Sus scrofa: one gene and its partners. The protein of the gene in region 1 interacts with the protein of each later gene in a biochemical or structural test. Links are inferred from orthologs where the notes say so. Each region holds a gene or a part of one and is shown in the gene's direction. Other genes may lie near its edges.

Region 1 (5,748 bases):
GTGGTTTGGGGGAGTCCTGTTCTGATGTATTAGCTGGAAGATTGGGTAGTTGCCTCCTTTACTCAGTACAGATGCTTATGGAGGGCTGGAAATGGGTCAGTGGGGAGCAAGTGCCTCGTACCCTTGGGGCGAATCCTGTCCATAGCTCCACATCTGGCTGATTTTAAGTTATCCTCAGGGTTCCCTGATTTAAAAAATGCAGATCCTGAAACCCTGCCCTCCTCCTCCTCATGATGCGTAGCTCTGGATGGGACCAGGCGTCTTTATTTTAAAGTATTTTCCCAGGTGACTCTGACAACCTGTCAAGTTCGGGGTTGATGGGCTCCTTTCACCTTCGCTTAGACGAAGGAAGTGGATTTCTCAGGGTGACTCACTTTCTAGGTGGGGAATCGGAGTCTCACACAGATGAAGTGCCTTTCCACAGGGCTACTTAGGAAAGAATGGGCTTGATGCTGCTGCTTTTCTGTGGCTGTGGCTGCCGGTGAGAGTGCCCAGTGACCCTGGCCTTCACCGTTGCCTGTGGCAGGTGACCATCAGCAGCCGCAGTTATACTGCTGCCTTGAGGCGACACCCTGCCGTTCTGAAGCCTCTGCTGGTGACTGTGGGGGATATTTTATGAACACAGGTCAGAGCAAGGAAAGGAAGATGTTAACCTCCATCTGTGTTTTGGTCAGTTTGCCCTGAGTTTTAATGGGAGAATTGGGCTTTTTGCGCTGTAATAACTGAATGCATATTTAGAATGCTAAACGAGAAAAGCCAAGCATTTCTGTGAAACGTCTGCTGTATGCTAGGTGAGAATAATCTGGGATTGCACTATTTACTCGGATGTTGAAAGGAACACAAATGCCATCAGGATTTTTTTTTTTTGGCCATGCCCGTGGCATGAGGAAGTTCCTGGGCCGGGGGTTGAACCTCAGCCCCAGCAGGGACAACACCAAGTCTTTAACTGCTGGGCCACCCGAGAACTCCTGCCATCAGTATTTTGAGATGGACTGCCATAGGGTGTCAAAGCCCTAGGAAACCACACTGAAAAAAAAGAGTATCTTCTAGAGCCCAGCCTGAAGTTTTAGATGAGTAAAGCTCATGGGGCTGCTAGATTTCACTCTAGCGAGAGACCCATCACTGCTGGCATTGTATTGGGTGCTCACTGCATACTAGATGCTTACATAGGTTAATTTATCCTTTAGGGTGGGTTTCTTTTGTTTTTGTTGTTATTTGTTTTTTGAGGGCCACACTTGTGGTATATAGGAGTTCCCAGGCTGGTAGTCGAATAAGAGCTGCAGCTGCCGGCCTATGCCACAGCCAAAGCCACAGCAACGGCACCTCAGGACCTGAGCCCCATCGGTGACCTACACCACAGCTCACGGCAATGCCGGATCCTTAACCCACTGAGCGAGGCCAGGGATCCGACCCATATCCTCATGAATACTGGTTGGGTTCTTAACCCGCTGAGCCACAAGGGGAACTCCTAAGATGGGTATTCTTAACCCAGTTTTACAGCTGAGGAAGCTGAGACTGAGTCGTTAACGGACTGACCAAGGTCACGGAGATGGAGAGATGCAGCCGAGATGCAGCTTCAGGTGGTCTGACCTCAGGGTGAAACGAAGAGGGGAGTTGAGTTTCTCAGGCCCTTACCAGCTTTATGCACCGGTTGCACATGTGTCTCCCTATATACTACGTTTACTGAAGGCAGCCTGCATGCTGCTTGGGACACAGTTCTCCACACATGGTGAATAGACAGTGTTTACCAAATAGAACAATAAAGTAACACAGGAGGGCTGCCATGCATAGAAATCTGTAGCTTTTGGAGTTCCTGTCGTGGCTCAGTGGTTAACGAATCCGACTAGGAACCATGAGGTTGCGGGTTCGATCCCTGGCCTTGCTCAGTGGGTTAAGGATCCAGTGTTGCCGTGAGCTGTGGTGTAGGTTGCAGACACAGCTCGGATCCCACGTTGCTGTGGCTGTGGTGTAGGCCAGTGGCCACAGCTCTGATTCGACCCCTAGCCTGGGAACCTGCATATGCCGCGGGTTCGGCCCTGGAAAAGACAAAAAAGAAAAGAAAAATCTGTAGCTTTTAGTTGTTTGCACATGAAACTATATCAAGGAATAAACCACTCAGAAAATACATTTTTTTTCACTTAGTGTCCCCTGAAAAAAATAAAATCTGATCGCTACTGTGGCGGATACTACAACTCCCCACCCCAAACACGATCTTCTTTTGTAATATTATCAAAAGCCTTGCAGCTTTTTCACAATCTGGAAGAAACAAGGGGTCGATTCCTTTAATTTCAGAAGCATGTAGGTCCATTTGTAATAATAAAAAGCTTTTTTTCCAAAATTAATTAACAGAGTTTCATTTATAGGACTGACTTCGATATGACGCATCTCTTGAACGAATGGCAATAAACTCTGGCAAACTGAATCGTGGTAACCATAGTAACGGGGGGGGAACCCTCTCGCAGTTTCCTGGGACGCACGGGCCGGAACGCTCTGAGGACATTTGGCCTGTTAGGCACGCCGTAGTCGCGCTGCATGCTGGGCCTCGGCAATATGGCGTCCTCCTTGATGTGCTGATGAGCGGAGTTTCACTGTAGCTTCAAACCAGAGGGCAAAAGTCCCGAGACCCAATAAGCCCACATTACGCATTTTTCTCCACGGCTCCGTGTCGCCCGTTTCTAAGGACTCGTTCTCAGGGAGGAGAGGGCCACGGGGCCGGAGGCCAGGACCAGCCAGGCCGCGCGGACTCGGGGCTGAGGAGCCGGCTGCGGGCGAGCACGATGGGCCGGTCCTGGCTCTGGTTGCAGCAGCTCCGGCGAGTGCGGGACCCGCAAGGCTGAGAGTGGCTGCAGGAGACCCGAAGCTCTCTGAACCTCTTCCCCTCGGCCGGAGACCTCAGCCCGGTCGGCGACCCGGCACCAAGAGCGGGCGGCCTGCCTGTCCTCGGATCGGCTGAGGCGTTGGAGGCCGAGGGCAGGGTCATCGTGAGGCCTGGAGTCTCGCACGCCTTTGACAGCTCCGCTCGCAGCCCCCCGGGAACCGACAGCCGCGGAAGCAGCCGGTGGCTTGGGATCTGGGCCGCCTGTGTCTGTGCGGAGCTCCTTGGGTTCCCTCATTTCCCACCGCTCTTCCCACGCCTCCGACTTCCCGCGCAGAGTTAGAGAAGGATCGCAGACTTTTTGCCTGAGTGAGGGTCTCCGCACACTCACTATCCGTTTCATTTTCTACTCCTCCCTCTTCTGTGTATTCGTTCGCCAATTCTGGTACACACTGGTTTTCAAGGCTGGAGGTTCTCGAGCGCTTGCTGCCCAGGACTCCCCCACCCCCTCCCCCAGTGATGGAGTCCGAGATGCTGCAGTCGCCCCTCCTGGGACTCGGGGAGGACGATGAGGCCGACCTTACAGACTGGAACCTGCCTTTGGCTTTTATGAAAAAGAGGCACTGTGAGAAAATTGAAGGCTCCAAGTCCTTAGCTCAGAGCTGGAGAATGAAGGATCGGGTAAGTGGATCGCGCCTGCGCCCCTTGGACCTTGGTAGTTTTTTTCAGGGAAGTTAGTTTAGAGCCAGAGGAGTGTCCTTGGGAAAGCGGCGGTATTTTTTCCCAGCTGTGTGTTTCAAGTCAACCAAAAAGCACAAACCATTTCAGACTCTGGGTCTTGGCTGTAAGTGGAAAAGGCTGTTTCGGTTCGCAGTTATTCCCTGGAGAGTTAATTCGGTACAAACTAAGTTCTAATTCAGACAGTCCAAGTTAAGTATGTTAGAAAACCCAGCATTGTCACATGCCCCTTGATATACTTGGCACTGTTAACACTTAGAGGAAAAACAGCTTGGGACATAATATTTGTACCCACGTGGTTAGTCTACTTTTGTGGCTAATTTACTTTTTCGGTCCAAGCTAGGGCAAGTGCAGAAGTCCAGTATCGTATGCTAGGAAACAAGGTTACTGGCAAATGTTCAGGTGGTAACAAGTTCATGCGTAGTTATTTCAAAGTTACGGTGAACTCCATCATAGCCTTCTAAACAGCTTTCTGGAATCCAGACTGTCCTCCTTTTGTGTGGTGTCTTGTTACTGTTACTTGGAGACGGAATTTCTCTAATAGTGCAGTTGGAGTATGACGGGGTGAAACGGGGGTTTAGGTTTTAGGGGGTCTTCGTGGTGCTGGGATGTGGATAGCAACTCACAAGCAGCTTACAGTAAAGGAAACAATTTTGTTAAATCTGACCTTAATTTGGAGAACTATTTTCCTGGTCTCCAGAGCAGAAGGATGGGACTCTCTCATCTGTACGTGCTTAGAATTTGTCTCTTTGTGTTTCGTTTTCTCCTTCTTTAAGACTCTTTGTTTCTTTGAACATTTTGGTATAAGAGAGGTATTTGGTGTTATCATGTAATGTGGTTGCTCTGGGCTTATGAAGATGTTTATATAAGATTGTTGTTTTTAGTAGGTGATGTTGAACATATATGCGCTTATCCTCATGGTCATTCTAGGTGGTCAGTCACTAGTAACTGGTGCTTCAGGTATTACCTGGCTTCTCTTTAAAAGGTTAGGAAAATTTGATTGATACAAAAGCAGTCTAAGGAGTAAAAGAGTTGGTCACTGGAAGAGAATGTATAGAGTCTGTCTTATGGATATGTTTCATACTAAATAGATAGTTCAGAGCTTTCATGGTTGCAAAGCATATCTCAAAAAATATATTTTAAAAGTAACTGCATGGAGTTCTCTGGTGTCTCAGTGGGTTGAGGTTCTGGGGTAGTCATTGCTATGGATCGAGGGATCGAGTTGCTGCTGTGGCATAGGTTTGATCCCCAGTCCTGGAACTTCTGCATGCTGCAGGCATGGCCAAAAAAAAAAAAAAAAAAAACAACGTAATTCTGTGGTCATCTTTTTTCTCCTGTTTGGAGGCCCTTCCTTTTTTTTTTTTTTTTTTTCCCTTTTGACATGTAGTTCCCTTGGCTACCTTAAACCCTTGGTCAAACTGTTCAAAACTGCTTAATGGATATATTTTTTATTTTTTAAAAATGTTTTTTGTTTGTTTGTTTGTCTTTTTAGGGCCACACCCATGGCACATGGAGGTTCCCAGACTAGGGGTTGAATCGGAGCTGTAGCTGCCAGCCTACACCACAGCCCCAGTAACATGGGATCCCAGCTGCATCTGTGACCTACACCACAGCTCATGGCAACACCGTATCTTTAACTCACTGAGCAAGGCCAGGGGTCGAACTCGTGTCTTCATGGATACTAGTCGGGTTCATTAGCCACTGAGCCATGACGGGAACTCCTTAATGGATCTATTTTTGACCTTTTAATTAAAACAGTAATTTGTGAATGATCAACATTCCCTGATAAAATCTTCAAAAGTTATTAAGTGGGAGAAAAATTGTGCGAGTCGGAGTAATTACTGAGATTCTGACTTAGAGCCAGGAGAGAAAATTTGCTGTATTCGGCCATTAAAGTTGTTTGATAAAGAAGACCAGCAGCTAGCACTTGCGGTTAAGTCTGTGGGAGCTGGGCGTCGCAGCAGAGCTGCCCCGTGTCTCCTTCCCTGGTTCGGCCCGAGGGGCCTTTGCAGCACATTTCGCAAATCCCGATGACACTCAGAGTTGGGAGGGAGCACGCATGAATGAAACGGGCCGGATAGAACGGGTGTAATGGCACAAGTGCATAGATAAGTGGCGGCTGAGGTTTGGCTCGCGTCTCCTTTTCTGGAGGGGGGCAACAGGGGGGCCTCTGAAGAACACACATTGCAGCTCAA
Region 2 (5,110 bases), about 34 Mb from region 1:
GGAGAATATCATGCTTAATCACCAAGGTGGAGATATACTGTAAACAATTCTATAGTAAATATAATCATCTTAAAATCCTTCCATACAGGTCATGGTCATTTTCAAAGCCCCATTTTCATGTGTTTGTTATTATACATTCCTCCCTCAGAATTTATAATATCATGATACTTGTACTTATGGTTGATGATATGAAAGAGAGTTGAGGATAACTAGCCACTTAAAAAACTTTTCTAGTTTAACCCTTACTCTTTAGAGCTTGTCATCTTTTGAAATGGTGAACCAAAGCCAGTCCAAATGCTAATTTTGGCTGGTTCCTTCAACTGGAAAGTGAATCTTTTTTTTTTTTTTGCCTTTTCTAGGGCTGCCCCCGGGGCACACGGAGGTTCCCAGGCTAGGGGTCTAATCAGAGCTGTTGCTGCTAGCCTACATCAGAGCCACAGCAACTCGGGATCCCAGCCACGTCTGCAACCTACACCATAGCTTATGGCAACTCCGGATCCTTAATCCACTGAGCAGGGCCAGGGATGGAACTGCAACCTCATGGTTCCTAATGGGATTCGTTAACCACTGAGCCACGATGGGAACTCTGGAAAGTGAATCTTAATGTTATAAATTGAGTTTTCTTTGTTGATGAAGATACATAAATATTAGAAACAATACTTTTATGATAAATTGTATTAATTCTCTAAAAAAGAAAAGGATTAGAATATAACCAAAATATTTGATATAGCCTTGGAAATAAAATATTTTTTAGTAGGCTTCAGTTTATTCTTGCTATTTGTTGGTAACAACAAACGTACAAATCAGATAGACTAATATTCTGTACAGCTGTAGTGAGCAGAGTGAACCTTGATTATAACTGCATGCTGCTACAGACAGTTGAACTTTGTGAGAATAATATGGACTAGGCAGGCTTGGCAGTTCAGGCAGTTCACTCACATTCCAGAGGAGTAGACAGCCAACCTGTCTGGGGGCTGGGGGCTGGTGGCTGGTGGCAGCTGTTGATCCCTACCAGATGACATACAAGGTAGCTAATGGTTTAAAATTCTTAGACAGAAAATGGTTTATGGACAGCTGTTGCCGGAATAAATGTTTCGAATTGTGGCTTCTTTCCTTTTTTTTTTTTTTTTTTTCTATTTTTTAAAGGGGAAACTCTATATTTAACCAAGTATGTCATGGGTATCTATATATCTCCTTCTTTCCCATTTCTGCCCACATTGCCCCAAACCTAGATTCTGATTCTGAATTCTAAGGCAAGGGATAGAATAGGCAAGTAACTAGTTAATTTCTTTGATCCATAACCTGAGTGTGTTCAGGTGGTTTTGTGAAAATAAAGGTCATATTTCTTTTTCTCTGTCAGAGTGATGTACTATTTATATTGTCTTTTCTTTTCTTGAAATAAACCTGGAATAGTAGAATCCCTGGAGTTGCTGAACTACTGGATAGCTAATGATAATTCAATAAAGCTAAACCTGAATTGAAATTTTTTTTGTATAAGGTGATAAGTTTCTCACTTTCTGGATCCGAGATGATGGTTCTATGCTATGCAGCATTTTCTTTTTTTTTTCCCTAACCGCAGAATAAGCCGACTTGTTACAGTGACTGCCTGAGACTGTCAGGTCATGGTTCATGGTGATAAAAGCTATATAGCTGAAGTACAGTGTTACATTTTTGTTTAAAACTGTAGAATATCTTTTTTAGGATCTATGTACTTAATCCAGACTTCGTCACGTTTTCTTAGGACTTGTGAAGATAAAGGATTCTTGATGTAGGTGAAGCTAGAGCCTTAGACAAGCTGTTTCACCTTTTCTCATCTTTATTTTCCCTTTACTAGATAATTTTGCCCTACCCTTAAAGTTAGTATCCTTTTTATGGGTGGAAATTTTGTAGTTCTTGATATCTCACAAATTTTAGGCAGAAAAAGTAGAATGGAAGGATATATTATTGTCTTATATGATGCATTCAAACATTGCACAGACTTAGAATTCTCAGAATAACCATCTTTAATCTTTCATTGTAGGTCATGTGAAATTAACAGATTTTGGACTATGCAAAGAATCTATTCATGATGGAACAGTCACACACACATTTTGTGGAACAATAGAATACATGTGAGCTGCATGTTGAAAGAAATATTACTGGTTTGGGGGTAATAGCTAACTTTTACCTAGTTTCAGTAATAGTAGCAACATTTGGATCTATATAGTTTTTAAAATTTTAATTCAGATGATATGCAAATAGTGGATTTTTAAGGCACATTATTTTTCTCATTGTAGGGCCCCTGAAATCTTGATGAGAAGTGGCCACAATCGTGCCGTGGATTGGTGGAGTTTGGGAGCATTAATGTATGACATGCTGACTGGAGCAGTAGGTGCACAGTTAAAAGCTGCATGTGTTAATGGTCTTTGCCGAGCAGTTATTAAGTCACTATAGCAAGAGAACTTTCCTCTGCTTTTTGAAAATGTTACCAATGAAGTTACTTCTAAAAATCTATGGGCCTTTCTACTTTTATAAATATTTTCATTTAAATGATTTATGTCATGGACTGTGGTCCTGTGAAATGGATGTAAAACATACTGCCCTTATTTTATTTTACTTTTTTTTTTTTTTTTTTTGGCTGCACCACAGCCTGTGGAAGTTCCTGGGCCAGGGATCAAATATGAGCTGCAGCTGCGACCTGTACCACAGCTGCAGCACCACCAGATCCTTAACCCACTGCACTGGGCTGGGGATCAAACACATGCCTGTGCAACAACCTGAGCTGCTGCAGTTGAATCCTTAGCCCACTGTACCACAGCAGGAACTCCCTGCCCTTATTTTATAAATGGAGAAAGGAAAGCATAAAATCACATGGCTCACCCATTATCACACCAAATGAATGATGGAAACCCAGTTCCTTTCAGGACATTGCTATTTCCTCTCTGCCATTGCTTAAAACCCACAGATCTTTAGCAGTCATCCCTTATCACAGCGTATACTTCTGGTTTTGATGCATAGCTAATTCAGGAAATGGATAATTCTGTTATTTAAAATTTGATTTTTTTTTTCTATGCTAATTTTTCTCACTCTCTTCTACTCTTAGCCCCCGTTCACTGGGGAGAATAGAAAGAAAACAATTGACAAAATCCTCAAATGTAAGCTCAATTTGCCTCCCTACCTCACACAAGAAGCCAGAGATCTGCTTAAAAAGGTAGGGTTCTAAAATAGGCACTCAAACCATAAGCCTACTAGGATTTAAATAGATAGAACTGAATATTTGTTTGTTTTTGTTTGTTTGTTTTTAAGGACCACACCTGCAGCATATGGAGCTTCCCAGGCTAGGGGTCTAATCAGAGCTGTAGCTGTTGGCCTACACCACAGCCACAGCAATGCAGGATCTGAGCCTGCGTTTCGACCTACACCATAGCTCATGGCAACACCAGATCCTTAACTCACTGAGCGAGCCCAGGGATCGAACCCATGTCATCATGGATGCTAGTCAGATTTGTTTCTGCTGAGCCACAATGGGAACACCCTGAATATATATTTTGGATACAGAATCATACACAGATGTTGACAAAGCCTGTAGTTTTTGCAGGCACAGTACAAATTTGTTTGATAAAGATTTTTTTCTTTTTATTCCTAAACAATATTTAGTAGTAATTAATAAATTATATATTCTCAAAGCAAAATACACTATAAAGAAAAAATAATCAATTTGACTGAGTAAAGTTCATCAGTGTTTTTTTTCTCCCTTCCCTAAAGCTGCTGAAAAGAAATGCTGCTTCTCGTCTTGGAGCTGGTCCTGGGGACGCTGGAGAAGTTCAAGTAGGGGTTGGCACGCTTGGTGGTTTGAGGGGAAGATCATGCTAATTTTATGTATTTGTGAAGGTTATATGTAGTTGCTTCTAAGGATAGCTTATTTTGTGATTGGTAACTTCAAACAGGCTGTTAATTTGTCAGTCCAGTGAAGTCTGTTCCTCAACCTTTCTTCCTGCTGTTTTGTTTTGTTTTTCCCTAGGTTCATCCATTCTTTAGACATATTAACTGGGAAGAACTGCTTGCTCGGAAGGTGGAGCCCCCTTTTAAACCTCTGTTGGTATGTCTACGTGAAAGCATATAATTTGAGGAAGCTGGTGCTTTTTCAAAAAAGGAAAATCTCAGCGCAATTAGAAACGTATTTATTAAGTTCAAAAAATTTTTGGCCTGTCCTCTCTTCTCTTCAGAATCTTTATTCTGTGTTGTCTTTTCAAGAACTGCCAGCAGCAATTACTGGCTATATTAACTTTTTTTTCTTTTTTTTTTTGTCTTTTGTCTTTTTAGGGCCACACCCGCAGCATATGGAGTTTCCCACGCTAGGGGTCTAATCGGAGCTACAGCTGCTGGCCTACCCCACAGCCACAGCCACGCAAGATCCAAGCCATATCTGTGACCTACACCACAGCTCACAGCAGTGCTGGATCCTTAACCCACTGAGCAAGGCCAAGGATCGAACCCACAACCTCATGGTTCCTAGTCAGATTCATTAACCACTGAGCCACAATGGGAACTCCAACTTTTTTTTTTTTTAATGGCTGTACCCATGGCATGTGGAATTTCCTGGGCCAGGGATCAAACCCATACTACAGAAGTGACCTAAACCACTTTTAGCAGTGACAGCACTGGATCCTTAACCCACTGAGCCAGCAGGGAACTCTGATACTATTTTTAAGTTGGTTGCCTAAGATGGTTAAATATTTCAAGGAGCTGGGACTTTTGTGTTTTTATGCTTTGTTTTGTTTAACCCAGCCCTGTTTTGCTTTTCTCTAACAAAGTATCAAACGAGGTGGCTTAAACAAAGACATTTATTATGTCATGGTTTTGCAGGCTAGAAGTCTGCAACCAAGGTGTTGGCAAGGGTAGTTCTTTCTGATGACAACGAGAGATCCTGTTTCATGCCTTGGTGGTTTGCTGGCAGTCTTTGGCATTCTTTGGCTCGTAGGCATCTCAGCCCATCTCTGCCTTTTTTGTAAGGACACCAGTCATATTGGATTAGGATCCCCACCCTCTAATCCACATTTTCCCTTTTTTGTAGGGACACCAGTCATATTGGATTAGGATCCACACCCTCTAATCCAGTATGACTCATTTT
Region 3 (5,747 bases), on another chromosome or scaffold:
TCAGATGCAGCACTCCCAGGCTGTGTGACCTTGGACCAGTCATTTCCCTGCCTCAGTTCCCACCATCAGGTGGGGATGTCCCAAGGAGCCGCTGTGGGATCCTGAGCGCCTCCCAGTTTGGGGTTTTTGAGTTGGGCAGACAGCAATTTCAGCCCTACTTTTGCCCTTTCTAGCTGTGTGCCTTCTGGCCAGTACCTTAATCTCTCTGAACCTCACTTTCCCATCTGGACTAGGAGATCATAAATCTTTCCTCATAAGGTTGGCAGGATGGCATTGGGAGTTCCTGTTGTGGCACAGTGAAAACGAATCCAACTAGGAACCATGAGGTTGCAGGTTCGATCCCTGGCCTCGCTCAGTGGGTTAAGGATCCTGCGTTGCTATGAGCTGTGGTGTAGGTCGCAGACGAGTCTCTGATCCCGAGTTGCTGTGGCTGTGGTGTAGGCCGGCAGCTATAGCTCCAATTCAACCCCTAGCCTGAGAACCTCCATATGCTGCGGGTGCAGCCTTAAAAAAAAAAAAAAAAAAAAAAAACAAGAACAGGCTCTGGTCCCAACTGACAGATCCAGGTCCCAGCTCTCCTTCTCTCTTGCCAAATGCCCTGTCAAGATATTGAATCTCCCTGGGCCTCAGTTTGCATCTGTAAAGTGGGGTGAGCAGAGCTCCTCCCTCATAGGGTCATGGGATGGGGGAGGCGGGGATGACCCCCTTGGGTCCCTGCCGGGCCTGTGGAAGGTGCAGTAGAACTTGCTCCAGGGCTGTCAGGGCTGGTGCTGGTCGCGCTCTCCCTGTGTGTCACTTCTGGCAAGGGCTTTGTGAACTTCGGTTGTCCTGTTTGTGAGGTTAACACCTCCCACCTTAGTGGGTCAGCTCGGAGGTGAGCCAGCGGGCGCAGGGTCCTCGCACAGAGGAGATGCTCAGCAAACACTGGTTTCTGTGCTCATGGGTCACAAAGGGCCTGCAAGCTGCAATGAAACCACTACCACCCCAGCGGGCTGGATCACAACCCTGCTTGGATCCCTCCAATGATGGGGAGCCCACTCCCTCTGTGGAGGCTCCACAGCTGCCCAGCAGCCCTAGCTCAACCGCTGATTTACAGGGAGAAGACAGTGAGGCCCAGAGCAGGCCATTCAGGGGTCCAAGGTTACACAGCAGTCTGGGCAGGAAGCCAGGCCCCTTGTCCCTTCTTCTCACCTGGTAAGGGGATACTTCCAGCAGGTGGTCTGTTGAGAGCAGACCTGTCCTGAGGACGCAGATCTCTGACCTCAGGTTGCCCGTAGTCTGATGGAGGAGGCAGAAGGAGGTACAGCTGTCACAGGCTTGTGCGCCCCTGAGCTATGGTGCAGGTAGCCTAGGGCACTGTGGGTCTAGGGAAGGCATCCCGTCTGTCCTGGGGAATCACGGAAGACTTCCAGAGGCCCTGCCGAAACGGGAACGAGAGCTCTGCGGGTGGAGTCCGGGCACAGAGAGCAGCTGGCACACCATTTTCTGCTCAAGCCCGGCTCTCTGTGGCCAGGCTAGTGTCTCAGAGATAATCCGACAGGCCTGCGCTCTGGCCTGGGAGATGCATGTGGATCCAGGGGGTATTCCCCGGAGGGACATGTGCTAGAACAAAGGTCCCTTGGACTTTGTGGGAACCCATAGATGGGGCGGGCTGACCTGATCTGGGGGTGAGCGAAGGAGTGACAAGTTCGAGAAGGACAAGTGGTCCAGGAAGCGGGGTCCACCTTGGCGGAAGGCCTCAGGAGTCTAGCAGTGTGTGAGGCCGGGAGCAGGCCCCCCAGTGCCGGCCTGAGGGGCTGTGACCTTGTCAGGTAGAAGGGCTCCTTCGGGGCTGTGTGCCGGCTGGGCTGGAGGCTAGGACAGTGGTCCAGGGTGGCACCGTCCCGCAGACATGATCCAACCATGTGTATAATTTCAGATTTTGTCTAAGCCCCATTAAATAAGTAAAAAGGAAAGAGATGAAATTCATTTGACCATATATTTTATTTAGCCAGCATAAATAAATGTCATCCTTTCAACATTTAGTCAACTGCAGATGGCTCATGAGGTATTTTCCATCCTACCTTTCTGTACTAAGTCTTTGTTTTTTATTTTATTTTATTTTTTCAGGGCCACACCCGCAGCATATGGATGTTCCCAGGCCAGGGGTTGAATTGGACACTGGTTGCCAGCCTACACCACAGCCACAGCCACAGCCACAGCCACGCAGGATCCCAGCCACATCTGCGACCTACACCGCAGCTCTCAGCAACGCTGGATCCTTAACCCACAGTGTGAGGCCAGGGATCAAACCCATAATCTCCTGGATACTAGTTGGGTTCCTTACCACTGAACTACGGGGGAACTCCTGCACTGCATCTTGGAAACCCTGTGTGGATTTCACTCTGGTAGCCCCGGCTAGCTGTGGATCAGTTACCTCTCCAGGGCTCCCTAGTCACACGTGACTGATGGCTTCCGTGTAGGATGGGGCTGGGCCGAGAGGAGGACAGGGCCTGGCGATCTGGATGGGCGGGGATCGTGGGGGGTGGCGGGTGGGGGGCAGATGCTGAGCTCCGCGGGGATAAGGCCGCTAGCCGGGGGTGGCTGGAGTCGGGGACCGGGGACGCCGGGGACCGCGGCCTCGGCCTCAGCCCCCGCTGTCCTGCTCTGGCCCGCAGGGCGCGGATGGCGTCAGGGCGCCCCGAGGAGCTGTGGGAGGCCGTGGTGGGGGCTGCCGAGCGCTTCCGGGCCCGGACCGGCACGGAGCTGGTGCTGCTGACGGCGGCGCCGCCCCCGCCGCCCCGCCCGGGGCCCTGCGCCTACGCGGCCCACGGTCGAGGGGCCCTGGCCGAGGCCGCCCGCCGCTGCCTCCACGACATCGCCCTGGCCCACCGGGCAGCCGCCGCCGCCCGGCCTCCCGCGCCCCCACCAGCACCGCAGGCGCCCAGCCCCGCACGGAGCCCACCCCGGACTGCCCTGGCCCGGGAGGAGGATGAGGAGGACGAGGACGAGCCAACAGAGACAGAGACCTCGGGGGAGCCGCTGGGCGTCAGCGATAACGGAGGTGAGAGGGGCAGGGGCTGGGGTAGCTCTTGGCAAGTTGCCTCCCAGGTGGGTTTTCCCGAAGGGGTCGACTTGCCTCTGAGCCCTGGTGTTCAGGGAGGCTGCAGGCTTACCTGTGAGTCACTCTGACCCCGAGCGAGTCATTGCCCCTTTCTGAGTCTCGGTTTCCTTAGATCAAGCTGGGCACAGAGAAGGCCACCTGGGAGACTTCTCTAGGGCCTCCAGGTTGGCCAAAGAATTGGGGTCCTGACATGAGACGGTGCCCCACGGAGGCCGTGGGGTGGGGAGGGAGTCTCCTGAATCAGGAGCATGAATAGAACAGAACTGGGGTGTCTAATGCCCAGGAGCTAGAGGAGTCAGGGCTGCCGCAGCAGCCGAGGAGGCCGGGGGAGGAAGCAACTGGCTCTTTGGGGGGAAATGTGGCAGTTGGTTGCTTCCCAGAGACTGGACTATATATAACATTAGGGCTTTGAAGACTGATTAGGAGTTTTCAGTGGGCAGCTCAATAAGTAGTGGTTACTCATTTGTTACTGTCAGTGGCTGGCTTCCTCACTGTTGCTAGAGAAATCCACATAGGGTTCAGGGCTCAGACTCTGGAACTGCCTGGCCAGGGTTCAAATCCTGGTGACCTTACTTATTAGATGTGGACTTTCGGCAAGTAAATTAATCTCTCTGCCTCCAGGTCCCCGTTTGTCAAACAGGGCTCATAATTATCTCGTCATTCTCTCAGCTGTATTTTGAGTCCGTGCATCCCAAACAGATCTTATAGATTTCATGTTCATCGAACCAGTTGCTTTCACCTGGGGACATGATGGAAACTGGATTTTTTTTTTTTTTTTTTTTTGTCTTTTTGCCATTTCTTGGGCAGCTCCCACGGCATATGGAGGTTCCCAGGCTAGGGGTCTAATCAGAGCTGTAGCTGCCAGCCTACGCCAGAGCCACAGCAATGTGGGATCCGAGCCGCATCTGCGACCTACACCACAGCTCACAGCCACGCCAGATCCTTAACCCACTGAGCAAGGCCAGGGATCGAACCCACAACCTCATGGTTCCTAGTCGGATTCCCTAACCACTGTGCCATGATGGGAACTCCTGGATTTATTTCTGCTGCCGGCCAGGCACATAACCAGGGGGAGGGAGTGATAATTCCAGAAGCTTCGAGCCTTGCAAGGGCCTGACCAGCGCAGGGCACTGGGAGGTGGTGGCAGTGTCTGGAGTCTGGCAGGACCCAACTGGCCCCAGCCCCTAACGCCATCCACAGGACTCTTTGTGATGGACGAGGACGCCACGCTCCAGGACCTGCCCCCCTTCTGTGAGTCGGACCCTGAGAGCACAGACGGTGAGTGTCGCAGGCTATCCCCATCCCCAGAGGAGGGGAGGACGAAGGCAGGAACAGAGGCTGAAGTCCACCCTCTCTACAGATGGCAGCCTGAGCGAGGAGACCCCTGCTGGCCCCGCAGCCTACTCAGTGCCCCCCGCCTCAGCCCTGCCCACACAGCAGTATGCCAAGTCCCTGCCTGTCTCCGTGCCCGTGTGGGCCTTCAAGGAGAAGAGGACAGAAGCGCGGTCATCTGATGAGGAGAATGGGCCGGTGAGGGGCAAATGGGAGGCGGGAAGGAGGGGCTTGGGAAGCCACCTCCTCCAGGAAGCCCTTGGGATGAGGATGCCACGTGTCACAGGACCCATCCTCCCCTCCACCTCATAAGGCTGGTTCTTGGGCCGGAGCCCTGCAGTGTTAACCACCCACAGCCTTGTAATGCATCCCGGGCCCGTGCAGAGAAACAGCCTCTCCCTTCCAGGAATAGTTCCATTTATAGAACATCTGCTCTGGGCAAGGCACCAGTATTTTGGTACCGGCTCCAGGCGGGGGAAGCTGGAGCACAGAGGGCTCAGATAACCTTCCACCCCCACCCGTCTCCTCCCGGACTCTGTGCCGTCTCCTTTGTCCTCTGTGCCGTCTCCCTTGTCCTCAGTTGCTCCCGTATCATCCTGGGTGGGTCCTCACCTCCCATCACTAAAGCTACTCGCAGCAGAGGGGAAACCGAGGCACAGCGTCCACAGGACTTCCCTGAGGCTCAGCCTGGATGGGGCAGAGCTGGGATTGGAACACAGCTTCCCTTTGGCGAAAAGCTATGGACTTCGAGGCAGGAGGTCTTGTGTCCATCCCATCCCATGGTTCCCCTCCCTGTGACACCTCTCAGTGTCCTCATTTACAGACTGGCAGGGCCCATCATCAGCTGCTGTCCTTTTTTTTTTTTTTTTTTGTCTTTTCAGGGCTACACCTGTGGCATATGCGGCTATTGGACCCAGGCTAGGGGTTGAATCAGAGCTACAGCTTCCAGCCACAGCAGCGCCAGATCCGAGCCACATCTGCAACCTCCACCACAGCTCACAGCAACTCTGGATCCTTAACCCACTGAGCAAGGTCAGGGATTGAACCTGTGTCCTCATGAATACTAGTCAGATTGATTTCCACTGAGCCTCAATGGGAACTCCCCGCTGCTGCCCTTCTTTGTCACTGGTGGAAACAGTTATTTAACTGAACATGTGAGTCCTGAGTACTGGGCCCCGGGCTGGCCTCTGAGAGGGCGCAGGTCTCGCTTCTGTCATGGCCTCTCCCATTCTGCTAGGAGTCAAGCCCAGCTCAGGGTGACAGCGGCCCTGAGGTGGTGCTAGGTGCCTGGGCTGCAGGCAGAATGACAGGA
Region 4 (5,630 bases), on another chromosome or scaffold:
TGGAGCTGCAGCTGCGGGCCTATGTCACAGCCACAGCAATGCCAGATCCAAGCCATGTAGGCGACCTATAGCACAACTCACGGCAATGCCAGATCATTAACCCACTGAGCAAGGCCAGGGATCAAACCCACATCCTCATGGATACTAGTCGGGTTGATAACCCACTGAGCCACAGGAACTCCCAGTTTTTAGCTTTTTAAATAAACAATCTCTTTGTCCTGATTATACATTGTGCTTGTTCTTTATTGCTGACGTTTCCGAACTTTTCCAGATCATGTCTTGAAGTTTTCTGCTTATTTATTTTTTCTGGATTCAGAGAACTCAATTTTCCATGTCCATCCTAGATCCTTTTGGTTGCACCCGCAGCATACAAAAGCTCCCAGGCCAGAGATTAAACCTTTGCTGCAGCAGTGACCTGAGCTGCAGCAGTGACAATGCCAGGTCCTTAACTGCTAGGCTACCAGGGAACTCCAACACCACAGATCTTTTTAGACATTAAGGCAGGTTTTCTTTTACTGTAAGTTATTGCCTCTAAGTGATTTGCTCTGTCTTCTTTGGGGAGGGGGTGCCTGTAGTTTGACTTTGTGGTGTTTGTTCTCTTGTACATTTTCTTCTTAAAGAATTTCATCACCAGCTTTTTCTCATAGTCGTCTCCTATCCTGCTGACTTGCTCTTCTACACTGTTAAGTCTGCTTATTACAGCTCCAACCATTGCTTTTACTTTGGCTATTGTGGTTTTAATTTCATGGTACCCTCTATTTATCTTGGCCTGTCCTTTAAAAGATGCAAGTTCTTCTTTTAATCAAGAATCAGGGAGTTCCTGTCATGGCTCAGTGGTTAACAAATCTGACTAGGAACCCTGAGGTTGAGGGTTTGATCCCTGGCCTTGCTCAGTGGGTTAAGGATCCTGCATTGCTGTGGCTTTGGCATAGGCCGGTGGCTACAGCTCTGATTAGACCCCTAGCCTGGGAACCTCCACATGCCGTGGGAAGTGGCCCTAGAAAAGGCAAAAAGACAAAAAAAAAAAAAAAAAAAAAAAAGGAATAAGAATCAGGTGTTGGGTTCTACTTTATGGACTAAACATATTTCAAAAGAGTACTTTTTGGCTGTAGCCCTTTATTTATTTTCTCATATGCCACATGTTTTTTTTTTTCCCCAGAGGATTTTTTTCTCTTTTGCTTATTCATCTTCAAGACTGTCTAGTTGATCTTTGTTGATGACTGGAAGTCCAGGCTTTCTGGATCACAGTGTCAGACAATCAGGACGCAGAATTTCCCACCCTTAGTCCCCTTTCCAAGACGACGCAGGTGACTCCAATGAAGTGGCTCAGAAGCAAGGGCTGGATCATCTTCTGTCTCATTGTCTTAGCTGTTTATCGAATTCACCTGCTTCAAGATTCTGCCTTTTATTTTCAACCTCTGGTGTTTGTGACTATTAAAGTTACAGTTGATTTATGTTGTGTTCATTTCTGCTATACAGCAAAGTGATTCAGTTATACATATATACATTCTTTTCCATTTTTGTGACAATCTCTGAACCTCAGTGCGTCTAACTCGTTTTCTCTAGATGTTAATACTTGTTTTTTTCGCGTTTCTACCTGGGTAAGATCCTGCCCATCTGTACCAACTTGGGTGCCAGTCTCTGAATCTCAGTGTTTTTCTCAGGGTCTCAACCCACTACTCCCGAACCCCTTACTCTGCTCTCCTTTTCTTCGCAGTACTTCGCAGACAACTTGAGTCTTCCTTCAGATCCATCGACCGTCCATCCATCATCTCCTGGAGGGTAGCTTCGAGGAGGGTGGACGCGCAGGAACGCGGTGACACTTGTTGAACGAGCCTCTGCCGGAGCGGGCCGCGTCCGGGCTTCTTGTCTCCGCCTCCCACTCTGGGTTTCACACTTTCTCAGGATGCAAATATCTCTCTCGGTCTCGGTCACCCTTCCGGCTTCTGTGCGGGTCTCGAGGCCTCTAATCTGTATGGGCCCCGGACTCTCACAAACCTGGCTCGGCGCGCGGGGGCGGGGGGAATCCGCCCCGGTCGCGCTCCTACTCGGAGGGAGCCGCCCGGAGCTTCTCTCGGCCCGCTGCCCCGCCCGTTCGGCCCCGCAAGCTCGCCCCGCCTCGGAGTCCTCAGCGTTTCCCCGCCGCCTCCCGCGAGCGCACGTGACCGCGCCCCGCCCCGCCGCTGCAGTGCTCCGCCCCCAACGCGCCTCTTCCGCCGGCCGCGCAGCCCTGCCCCCAGGCCGCGGGAGCCAATCCGCGCTCACGCCTACGGCCCTGCCCCGGCGCCCTCCTCGGCGCGCGCCCCTCCCTCCGCCCGCCGGCCCGCCCGTCAGTCAGTCAGGCGGGCAGTCGGTACGAGCGGTCGGTGGCTATCTACCTCTCCCGAGCGGGTCCCTCACTGATTCTTCCCGGCCAGCGGCGGCGGCTGCAGCGGCTGGGGCGCGGTCTCCCCGTTGGTGCAGCGTGGGCCGAGCAGCGGCCGCGGAGCATCGAGCCCAGTGCGGCGGCGGCGGCGGCGGCCCGGCAGCCAACATGGCGGCGGCGGCGGCGGGCGCGGGCCCCGAGATGGTCCGCGGGCAGGTGTTCGACGTGGGGCCGCGCTACACCAACCTCTCCTACATCGGCGAGGGCGCCTACGGCATGGTGTGGTGAGTGTCCATGCCCCGCGGCCTGGCCGCGCCCGCCGCCCTCCCCTCCCCCCCAGCCGGGCTCACCGCTGCTGCCCCGCTTGCTCTCCGGACCCCGACCCTGACCCCGACCCCGGACGCGGACCCAGCCCCTACCCCAACCCGGACCTCCGACCTCCGACCCAGGCCCGCTGCGCCGCCAACCGCAGCGGGGCCTCGGTCGGGGCGGGGCTGGTCGGGCTGGGGCGTTGCTCGGCGCGGGGAGGGGGCGGGGGGTGGACACTGGATCCAGGACCCCGGCCCGGGAACCTAGGCCCCCTCCGCCCCCCCCGCCCCCCTCCCCGGCCTGGGTGTGCGCCGCGCGGCCTGCTCTTCGCGCCGGGGTGGGAAGCCGCGAATTCCTTCAGATGCTGGCGGCGGCGGCCGCGGCGTGTGTGCCCCGCCCCGAAATGACCGTCTGTTATTTTCCTTCCCTCGCCTGCGTTTTCCACGCACGGCTTTCATCAGATACCTTCGGTGGTGCCAGCGGTGCTCTCCTGCGCAGGCTTTTGAAAAAGCATTAGTGGCGTCAATGTTTGTTTTGGCATATTTCATTCTTGATGAAGTTTTTAAATGGGTTTTAATATCGTACTGTCCGCGTTTTAGGAAAGATAAACCAGCATCCCTCTCTTGATTTATTAAGGAGTCATTTGGAGTTGGGCCTAAATTGGCTTCTTTTTCCTTTATCTCGCTTGAACTCTATTACCAGCATAAAGGCATCCAGACGTTTTAGCACAATTATTGTGGACTTTTACTGTCAATGCTTTAGTGGTCAATATGTATGCAGTCCTGGTGGAGTTCTTGCAGTGTCACATGCTGGTTCCCTCGTCTTGATGCAGATCCCTCAGAAACGTTTGTGGAGTGGAGGTGACGGTGTTTTTTTTTCGTTTTTTTTTTTTTTTTAAATTAGTACTAACTAGCTGTCTTGTGCTGATGAAGACTTGTGCAGGTGTGGACTCCCTTATACCTAAATCTTGTGAGTGTCTTTTGTGTTGAACGAAGGAAAAAAACTAATACTGAATGCTGCGTGGCAGGTACTGTGCTAGATATATTATCTCATTTTATTTGAATAGTCAGCTGGTGGGAGGGAAGGGCTGTGAGATCTTTCAGATGAGAAAGTATTTCTGGTAAAGCCAATTCCTAAGGTCATTCAACTAAAGAGTCAGACTTGAGATTGTAGACTGAGAATTTAACTTCAGTTGCTGCAGCTCTTTTCATTACATCCTATTTTTCTTAAATAATGTTATTAATAATTTTAGAATTCTAGTCTGTCTTACTCATAAGCAAATCTATTTCAGAAATATATTCAACTTTAAATGATCTTGATTTCAGAAAGGCCATAGAGGGCATGATTTACCAGTTACATTAGCTAGGTTCAAAGACTACATAAACTTTAAAAAAAAAGAAAAAGACTTTCATTGAATCTTGAATATTTTCATTCTTTTCAAGATCAAAATGCTTCAAAGTATACAGCTGAGAATTAACGTGAATTCAGAGGCTAAGGAGCCAAAAGCGAAATTAAATTAGTTGAGGCCTAAAAGAAATGCAGTCCTAGAATGCAATGGAGAGAAAGTAATGCCCCACAGCATCACTTGTGTCCTACATCTGATTGCTGTTGTATCTGCTGGTAAGTGTGCCAGTAAAGGTCTCTATGAAGTGTTCAGAATTGCCTGTCATGTCCTTCAGCCCTTCCAAAGAAGATAAATTAGAACCTAAGATAGACTCTGAAAAGAACTAGTTTTGGAGTTCCCATCGTGGCTCAGTGGTTAACAAATCTGACTAGGAACCATGAAGTTGTGGGTTCGATCCCTGGCCTTGCTCAGTGGGTTAAGGATCCGGCATTGCTGTGAGCTGTAGTGCAGGTTGCAGACGTGGCTCGGAATCTGCATTGCTGTGGCTCTGGCATAGGCCAGGGGCTACAGCTCTGATTGGACCCCTAGCCTGGGAACCTCCATATGCTGCGGAAGCAGCCCAAGAAATGGCAAAAAGACAAAAAAAAAAACAAAAACCAAAAAACTAGTTTTATGACAATCCAGTTTAGAGGTTTTTTTTTCTTTTTAATTTGATAAGAATGTTTACTAGTCTGAAGCTCATTTAGATCTGCTAACTTTCTGTAGCTTCTGTAGACTTATTTGACCTTCTAAATCTCTGTCGGGTAAAATACCAAGCCCTCTTAATGTGACGTTCCTTTCTTAAGTAGGATCCAAGTGTAAATATTATTGGAATTAGAATCCTGGGTACAGATTATAGCTTTTTATCTTCAGATTAATGATATTTAATATAAGAATTAAATCCATGTCACACATTATTAGCATTTAATAAATGTTGGTTTACATTGTTGGGTTTATGGAGGATTTCTTGATTGAAATAGTAATATTTGAATAGGGATGTTTTCAAAAATTTAATGCTTCCAGAGGATTTAAGTGTTTTGGGAGAAAAAAATTTTTTTTCACTCCCTGAATCAGTTCATTAGGAATTTGCTTTTTCTGTGCAGAGTCCTTTCCTAATCATCATGTGGAGAATATAAAGATGAAGAGTGGAGCTTGAATTGGGCCTTTAGGAGTGGGTGTGATTTTGATAGAAAGATAATCGGTGCAAGTGACAGTTTGAGCTGTAGACTCTAATTCTGGAAAAGTACTTAGTTGGCAAATTGTAGAGGACTCTAAAGCCGAAACCAAGCTTGAGCGTATATTTGTGCAATGGAGAAGCATCAGTGTTTTTGAAAAGAGGCAGACACATGGTCAGTTTTGAAATTTTGAGGGAAGATAGAGCAACACTGGTAGAAGTGACAGGAAAAAGCAAAGTGGGAAATCAGTTAGGCTATTGTAACCTCCTAGAGGTGAAGTAATAGAGTGGTAGCCGAAAGCAGCAGATGGAGAGCCCTCATAGACAGAATCAGTCACTGGGGCTCTGGTAAGTAGAGTGGTAGACTTCTAATCACGGCGAGTATGGGATGAAGCAAA

What was found.
Region 2: of the proteins of RPTOR (region 1) and RPS6KB1, one has a biochemical effect on the other in vitro, tested with the Homo sapiens proteins (6 studies listed by BioGRID and IntAct, with this or other methods). The link is inferred for Sus scrofa from reciprocal best matches to the Homo sapiens genes RPTOR and RPS6KB1.
Region 3: the proteins of RPTOR (region 1) and AKT1S1 interact in a biophysical measurement, tested with the Homo sapiens proteins (2 studies listed by BioGRID and IntAct, with this or other methods). The link is inferred for Sus scrofa from reciprocal best matches to the Homo sapiens genes RPTOR and AKT1S1.
Region 4: of the proteins of RPTOR (region 1) and MAPK1, one has a biochemical effect on the other in vitro, tested with the Homo sapiens proteins (2 studies listed by BioGRID, with this or other methods). The link is inferred for Sus scrofa from reciprocal best matches to the Homo sapiens genes RPTOR and MAPK1.

Annotation. Positions count from the first base shown.
Region 1 is NC_010454.4:1,988,354-1,994,101, reverse strand, and holds the start of RPTOR (regulatory-associated protein of mTOR), read left to right. Parts: upstream 1-2,257; 5' UTR 2,258-3,334; coding exon 3,335-3,496; intron 3,497-5,748. UniProt on the Homo sapiens protein: Component of the mechanistic target of rapamycin complex 1 (mTORC1), an evolutionarily conserved central nutrient sensor that stimulates anabolic reactions and macromolecule biosynthesis to promote cellular biomass generation and growth.
Region 2 is NC_010454.4:36,141,873-36,146,982, forward strand, and holds part of RPS6KB1 (ribosomal protein S6 kinase beta-1), read left to right. Parts: coding exon 1-26; intron 27-2,020; coding exon 2,021-2,111; intron 2,112-2,276; coding exon 2,277-2,367; intron 2,368-3,082; coding exon 3,083-3,190; intron 3,191-3,744; coding exon 3,745-3,807; intron 3,808-4,000; coding exon 4,001-4,078; intron 4,079-5,110. UniProt on the Homo sapiens protein: Serine/threonine-protein kinase that acts downstream of mTOR signaling in response to growth factors and nutrients to promote cell proliferation, cell growth and cell cycle progression.
Region 3 is NC_010448.4:54,883,134-54,888,880, reverse strand, and holds the start of AKT1S1 (proline-rich AKT1 substrate 1), read left to right. Parts: upstream 1-2,250; 5' UTR 2,251-2,463; coding exon 2,464-3,043; intron 3,044-4,303; coding exon 4,304-4,381; intron 4,382-4,463; coding exon 4,464-4,747; 3' UTR 4,748-5,747. UniProt on the Homo sapiens protein: Negative regulator of the mechanistic target of rapamycin complex 1 (mTORC1), an evolutionarily conserved central nutrient sensor that stimulates anabolic reactions and macromolecule biosynthesis to promote cellular biomass generation and growth.
Region 4 is NC_010456.5:50,081,197-50,086,826, forward strand, and holds the start of MAPK1 (mitogen-activated protein kinase 1), read left to right. Parts: upstream 1-1,882; 5' UTR 1,883-1,906; coding exon 1,907-2,649; intron 2,650-5,630. UniProt on the Homo sapiens protein: Serine/threonine kinase which acts as an essential component of the MAP kinase signal transduction pathway. MAPK1/ERK2 and MAPK3/ERK1 are the 2 MAPKs which play an important role in the MAPK/ERK cascade.